2 linked regions of the Elephas maximus indicus genome follow. The protein of the gene in region 1 interacts with the protein of each later gene in a biochemical or structural test. Links are inferred from orthologs where the notes say so. Each region holds a gene or a part of one and is shown on either strand. Other genes may lie near its edges. The genes, in order: TRIM25 and ZC3HAV1.

Region 1 (3,909 bases):
CAAGCAAAATGAAATCCTTGACAACTTCGATCTTATCTTCGTTTATCGTGATGTTGCTTATTGTCCAGTTGCAAAGATTTTGTTTTATGTTGAGGTGTAATCCATATTGAAGGCTGTGGTCTTTGATCTTCATCAATAAGTGTTTCAAGTCCTCTTCACTTTCAGCAAGCAAGGTTGTGTCATCTGTGTAACGCAGGTTGTTAATGAGTCTTCCTCCAATCCTGATGCTGCACTCGTCTTCATGTAGTCCAGCTTCTCAGGTTATTTGCTTGGCATACAGATTGAACAGGTATGGTGAAAGGATACAACCCTGATGCATTACTATTCCTTTTTATGATTTCCCAGCTAGGACACAGGGCTGGGATTCAAACCCAGCTCTCTCTCAACACCCAGCTCTGGCCTGGAGAAACAGATAAGGCCAAGGAAGGGCTGTAACCTGAATGGGGGAGGCCTGTACTCTGAACTCAGCAGTGCTGCAACCCCCGCCCCCAGCCCTCCCCGACCTCACCCCGGCCTCATGTCTCCTTTAACAAAACAAAAAGAGCCCTTGTTCTATCTGACAGTGCCGGGAGCATGAAATAAAATAAGGCCAAGCTTTGGAACTTACAGTGGTATACAATTCAAGGTGGTTTCATTACATCTTTCAGCCTCTGCCTGGAGTCCACAGAGAAAAGGTATGATCCCTCCAAACCACTAAGAAGATCACAGACCAAGGTCCCTTAGGAATCCACCTAGTCTCACCTCCTCATTTCACTGACGAGGCCCCAAGCCACAGACCACATCCTTTGCTCAAAGTCACACAATAAGGAGGCGGTGCTATGGTGCCACAGGGCTGGTGCTCCCTATGGTCACATCCAGGGATTCCTGGGGCTCCCCACACCCTCTCCGACCTCTAATAAGAACAACTCTCCCTGGTCAACAGAACTCTCCGGGTCCCCAGAGGTGTTTGCTTACATGACCTTAAGCCTCTGGAAATGTCCCGTGCTCTGGACTCTCCAGACCTACAGATCTGAGGTTGATCCATGGAGAGAAATCACACAGTGTGTAGTCAAACCAACTTGGGTCCCAATGTCCACTCCGCCCCTTGCTGTATTAAACTAAAAAAAAAAACAACCAAACCCCCACTGCCATCCAGTCGATTCCAGCTCACAGCAACCCTACAGGACAGAGTAGAACTGCCTCATGGGGTTTCCAAGGCTGTAACCTTCATCGAAGCAGACTGCTGCATTTTTCCACTGCAGGGTAGCAAGTGATTTCAAACAGCCAACAATTCGGTTAGCAGCCAAGCGCTTTAACCACTGTGCCACCAGGGCTCTTACTGCATTACCTGGGGCTAGATTAATCTCTCTGGACCTCAGTTTCCTCAACTGTAAATGAAAATACTAAGACTCATCTCCTAGGCGCTCGCAGAACTTACTGAAGGACAGAAGTAACCTCCAGGGCTTAGAGTTAACATTCAAAACCATCTACGAAACACCATTAGACAAGCACAAGGCTTAAGGAAAGCTACTTCGGCTGTGTCTTCTGTTTTCCTCTCTGTAAAATGGGTGTATGTTGGGGGGCCAGGTATACATGGTGGGAGAGGCCTGTATCATCCCCAGCTCCTTTCTCCTGTGACATTCGGGATACCCCTGCCCTCCATCTCAGGCCCAGCAAAGCCTATACCCCCAGAGCATTCAAGGTGCGGCAGAGAGGCCCAGGGAGCACGGCCTCTGTGCAGCCCCACCAGCCCTCCGTGGCGCCCCTACCTCCAGGTCGGTGCTGGCCTGGCTCAGCGGCGCCGGCGAGCAGGCCTTGTGCTCCACCAGGCAGATATGGCAAATGCACTCGCCGTGCTCGGGGCAGAAGAATTCTCGCAGCCGGTTGTGCTGAGAACACTTGCGGCGCATCAGGTCGCGGATAGGCGGCTGCAGCGGATGGTCCTGGAAGACTGGGCTGTCGAGGTGCGGCTGCAGGTGCTCCTGGCAGAAGGAGGCCATGCACACGAGGCACGTCTTGGCGGCGGCCGCCTTGAGGCAGTGGTCGCAGGCCACCTTTTCGGGCAGGCTGGGGGCCGCGGTGCGCACGGGCAGCGTCCAGCCGTCGACAGACACCTCCCGGGCCTGCTCGGCGCTCAGGAACTGCTCCACCACGGCGCACAGCACCGTGTTCTTCTGGAGCTGCGGCCGCGCCTGGTAGACGGCGCGGCACTGCGGGCACCGGTACGGCGAGCCCTGGACGGCCCACGTCTCGTCCAGGCACGATGCGCAGAAGTTGTGGCCGCACGGCGTGGTCACCGGCACCTTGAAGGGCTCCAGGCAGATGGAGCACGACAGCTCCTCCGCCAGCGGGTTCAACTCCGCCATAGCGCTCCTCCGGAGGGGCACGACACGTTAGAACCCAGGCTGCTGCACTGTGGCACGGAAGCTGTGAGGAAACGAAACTGATCGGGGCCGGGGCGGTCCCCGCAGCCTCTCGGAAGTCACGTGGGGCGCGGGCTGGTCGGCTGGCTGGCTGCCGGGGGTGAGGGGGCGGGCCGCATCCGGCCCCCGTGCGGGCGGCGGACTGGCAGTCCAGGGGAGGGTCAGCGGCGGAACGGCCCGTATAGCTTCCGCCCGGTGGGCGCGGGGCTTTTTGGGGCCACTGTGCGGACGATGAACTCGAGGGATGCGGAGGCCTGGACCCCAGCCAGAGCCGAGGTCCAGTCGGCCTTCCGCAGACTGTTTTTGTTTTTTCTGCGGGGGGCTCGGGGGTGTGGATGCTCCATCAGCATACAGCCCTTGGAGTTTGGAGCTCACACCCACGCTCAGACTTAAACTGGGTGACTTCTTTCCATTCCACCAATCTAACAGGATTTTATTTTTAATTCTCATTTCTACTTTCCTGGAGTTTGGAGACATCCAGTTTAATGAAAGGTTTACACACACTCACACACATCTGTAACATTAGAGCTTAAACATTTTTCTAAAAATTGCTTATTTAAATTTCATTTAATATTTAGCTCTATTTTTCCCCTTCTCTGGCCTGGGTACAGGAAAAATGAGTGGACAAGAGGCTAGACGAGTTCAAGAGAGGAGACGGGATGGTGGTAATGAGAAAGATTGTGTATTGGGAGGGGTTAATTGGAGTTTGCTTTAGGTACAGAGTGGATGGCAAAAATGAGAAAAAGGTAAATGCCTTAAAAAAAAAAACCTTAGACTACTGCTAATAGTGATAGCGGAGCCCTGGTGACGCAGTGGTTAACAGCTCGGCTGCTAAGCAAAAAGGCTAGCAGTTCAAATCCACCAGCTGCTCCTTGGAAACCCTATGGGGCAGTTTTACGTTGCTTCGTAGGGTCACTATGAATGGTAATAGTAATAGTAATCCAAAAAGTAATTATTTGTTTATATGCAACCTACTGTATACTAGGTAAATCACATATATTAGCCATAATCTTTATAAAGAAGCCCTGGTGCTGCAATGGTAAAGCGCTGGGGTGCTAACCTAAAGGTTGGAGGTTTGAACCCACTCACCGGCTCCACAAGAGACAGATTTGGCAATCAGCTGATGATCTGCTTTGGTAAAGATTATAGCCAAGGTAACCTTATGGGGCTGTTCTATTCTGTCACATGCAGTCCCCATGAGTCAAATCTACTCTACAGTACACAGCAACAACCCAAAAGAGCAGTGGCTGTCAAGTCGATTCCGACTTACAGTGACCTATGGGACAAAGTAGACTCGCCCCACAGGGTTTCTGAGGCTGCAGGTTTAAATGGCCAGTCTTCCGGTGAGAAACCAAGCACCAGGGCTTGTCCCACCAGGGGTCCTTTTACAATAACAACAATCCTTATAAATTCTGCAAGACAGATGTCATTGTGTCCATTTTACAGATGAGGGTCAGATAACTTCCAGAAAGCAAGACTAAAATTCTAGCCAAGGACTGCTTAACTC
Region 2 (3,909 bases), on another chromosome or scaffold:
ATACGGGCAGAGAAGAATAAACAAAACAAAATTGGCCATATTCTGAGAACTGTTAAAGCCAAATGATGGGTACACAGGGGGTCATCATTCTCTTCTCTCTACTTTTGTATATGTTGAAAAACACCCGTAGTAAAAAATCAGAAGATTGAAAAATATATTTAAAACAAAAAGACAACATTAGTTGGTAAAGAATTTTTAGTCATTCACCTTAAAAACAGAAAAACAAAGCCTCCCAATATGGTTATTCAGTATAGTGCTAGAATGTTCCCTCTGCTACGCTCTCCTCCTTAGTATTTCCTTCCCTTTCCGGACTGAGATGACTCCCTCTATAAACGTAACTTCCAGCATCTCAGAAACAGACTTCCAAATTGTTGACTCACAGCATGCTAAATTCTGAGTTTTTAAAAAGGGAAGGATACTCAAGCACTTTTTTTTTTTTTTTAGAGTGAGCAGAAAGGTTTTTTGCTCTCAATAAATACATTTTTGAAAATATCTCCTCCATCTTTTATCTAAAGCATCTATCTTCTGTACATTTTATTACACATATTTGGCGGTACACGATCTAAAGGTTTTTGTTAACAGGAAGTTCGTGAGCAAAGTTTGATGACCACCATTTTGGACACTGGGACACCACTTAAGGTGTTTATGGAAGAGCCAAGAAAGAAAAACACTAATCAGGAAAAAATAATTGAGCAGAAAAACATAGGGTTAGATTAGATGAGGGAATCGACTGTAGCCAAAAGAGCCTTTTGATTACTTCAACGGCGCCTTCATTCAGAAGCAAGATGGGTATCGGAGACTTCCGAAGGAGGAGAAAAGGTTTAGATCGGGTGGAGGGGATTGTGGAAGACCCTGCCTGGAGTAAAGACGATGAGTTTGATCAGAGTATTGGCAGGGTGCTCAGGAACAGCTATTCCACGACCCTGGGAGATGCGGAGCCTGGACGGGGTAGAAAGGCCTGCACAGTGGGTCTATGTTTGGAAGCCATCTTCGTAGACAAAACCGCTAACCCAAGGGAGTGAGCGCTCTTAGGAAGAAACCTTCAAGACCTCTAGATCAAAAGACTTACCCCAACCTTGGGGCACAGCTGTTGTTATAAGGCATAAAAGACCATGTGGAACCAGAAGCAGCTACGTAAGAGGTAACCCGCACTGTTTCAAAAGACCAGTTTAAGACAGTGGTCCCAAAAGGGAGTGGTCAACGGTGGGGACAGACACTACTCAGAGACGAGGGCGAAGGGACGCCAGAAGACGACGCTACATCATCGGTAACCTCGAAGGGGGCCACTCCGGTCAGCAGGTGGGGACCGGCCCCAGATTTCATAAAAGTGATCACAGGGGGTTGGAGGGGCTGAGACTGGAGGGCCAAGCAGAGACCCGAAGGGAGCGGCGGTGGAGAGGGATGGGGGTGCGTGGCGCGGCTGGGGTGCTGGGAAGACCGTCACACGTCTAGGGAAAGACTTGAGATTTTAGGGAGTAGAGGCATTTTCCTTTCTTCCCAAAACCGCCTTCAACTTCCCCAGGCCCTGCCTGGCCCAGAAAGCACTTTATTCTTAGCGGAGGGGAGGGGGGGCTAAGCGCACTCCACCTGGGCAATATCGCGTTGGCCCTATTGGAGGCAAAGACTGGAGGCACTCGCGGGAAGGGATCGGCAAGAGCGGGTGCGCGGCCAGAGCAGAAATGCTCCTAGGCGAGCAGAGAAGAAAGGGGCTGGTGGAACAGACTGTCGGGGTGCAGAATCCCGGCGAGGGCGCGCCCCTCGTGGAACAGCGGCCCGTCTTTCTCCCCCACCTTAGGACACTCACCGCTGCGACTGCGAATAGTTGCACCGGCCCAGCAGGTTGAGCTTGCAGAGGTGCAGGTTTTCGCAGGGTCTCTGGCAGAACTTGCGACGGCAGACCCGGGCTCGAGTGGTGGCCACCACCCACCGGCTACCCTCGGTCTCCTGGACCACGAAGCGGTCGGGCCCGGCCGCTTGCAGCACCTCGCAGAGCTGCTCCTCAGATAGCGCGATCTCGCGGAGCAGCGCGTCCAGAGCCATGCGGCCCTTGTGGGCGCACAGGATCTTGGTGATGAAGCAGCACACCTCCGGGTCGGCCATGGCCACGCCGTTGCCGCTTGGCGGCCGGAGCCTTGCAGACACTGAGCGCAACTGACCGCGCTTGCTCCCGGAGAATCGAAACCTACAAGTCGCCCTCCTGGCGCGCGGGGCGGGGCGCCCCTCCCCCGGGCTCAGCGCTTTCGGTTTCCAACTCGGCTCTTGGGTGGAGGCCGGATACCACCGCCTGGGTCGTTGTGTAAAAGTCGAAGGCGATGGCCACCGAATGGCAAGCAAGTGACCAAGCGCGGGAAAGCCTGCGTAGACGCAGCGCCTGCCCGGCGGCCTCTCTCGAGTCTGGGCTTGGCGAGGATGATCACTACGAGGCTTGTCAGGACAGAAGAGAAACTGAAAATGAGCTCGGGGATTTTTATGTGCCAGTGGTGAATGACGCGGGTCTTGGTTCCTCTCGCTCCCCACCCCACTCACTCATCCCGGAACGAGCAAACCCTGGTGAGAGCAAACCGTGGTGAGCGCCTCCTCCGAGCCCGGCGCGCTGACTCCGGAATTGTAGCGAATCTGCAGGACAGCTCCACGGGTTGGTTGTTACTACCCTCCCTCTGTAATTGAGGAAGTAACTTGCACAAATACGCACTGCCATCAAGCCGGAGCTCGGGGATTCCCCATATCTCCCCCCAGTCCCCAGACCGTGGTCTGCCTGGTCTAGGAGCCATGTGTACTTTCCCTCAAACCACCGTGCGCCCTTAAAGAACACCGACTGTTCTCCCTTTCCCTCTGTTTTGCCTTCTTACAAACGTTTAGAAGAACCACTTCTTGATCCCGTCTTTCTTGATTGTAATTGCTAACAGCAGGGCCCCAGACCCGACTTAATCCCCCTGATAGAAAGAAGTCATAGGCAGGCACGCTTAGACATACCCCAAGGCTTCAGATCTGCCCCTCTCTTTAGGTATTTGGACATAGGCCCTCCTCTCTACCCTCCACCAATGAATGGTTCATTGATCAGACAAGAAATAGACCTTTAAAAAACACAGTAGAATTTGGTTGCCATATTAGAAATTCTTCTGAATCACAAATTGAAATTCTCTTCCGTTTGGTAATTGGGGTAAATGGACAGTGTCTCTCAAGAATAGAGTACTTTGGTGCAAAAACCATCCAGACATGGGGCCCAGTAGGAGTGAGGAATCTGTCTTCTGACTTCCTGGTTCTTCTGGCTACTGCTTCCACACTTGTCCTTTAATCCCCTTGGCCTTATATGTGGTCTGAGAGGTTCCCAGGGATGTGGGCTTTCACTACCAAATCAATAAAGTTGAACATACTTATTGAGTATCTTCCATGTGGACTTTACATTAGTTCGTCATTCTGAACATACAGAAATTTAAGAAATAGTCCCTGCCACTAGAGTTTGTGTTTGGGAAAACATTAAAATATAAGGGAATCAGGGACTAAATACTGCCATGGATATATAGAAGATCAGCGAATGAAGAGTCCAGTTTGGCTAGAGTGGTTGGGAATAAAGATACAAAATCCTCCTCAATTTGAAACCACACAGAACTAAGTAAGGAGGGTGGGAAGGCAAAAAAAAAAAAAAAGACAGACAGACATTTGGGGGAACTTTGAAATATGTGCTGTGGCAGTCTGAGTTCTCCAGGAAGCAGATACTGAGGTGAAGTTAGGAGGGCAAAAGATTTACAAGGTGGAATCCCTAGGTGACGCGAACAGTTAAGCACTCCACTGCTAGCTGAAAGATTGGAGGCTCAAACCCACCAGAGGTGCCTCAGGAGAAATGCCTGGCCATCTGCTTCCAGAAAGTCACAGCCTGGAAAGCCCTGTGGAGCAGTTATAGTCTGCACC

What was found.
Region 2: of the proteins of TRIM25 (region 1) and ZC3HAV1, one has a biochemical effect on the other in vitro, tested with the Homo sapiens proteins (2 studies listed by BioGRID). The link is inferred for Elephas maximus indicus from reciprocal best matches to the Homo sapiens genes TRIM25 and ZC3HAV1.

What each region holds. Positions count from the first base shown.
Region 1 is NC_064837.1:37,146,967-37,150,875, reverse strand, and holds the start of TRIM25 (E3 ubiquitin/ISG15 ligase TRIM25), read right to left. Parts: upstream 2,427-3,909; 5' UTR 2,346-2,426; coding exon 1,749-2,345; intron 1-1,748.
Region 2 is NC_064826.1:11,011,796-11,015,704, reverse strand, and holds the start of ZC3HAV1 (zinc finger CCCH-type antiviral protein 1), read right to left. Parts: upstream 2,625-3,909; 5' UTR 2,101-2,624; coding exon 1,805-2,100; intron 1-1,804.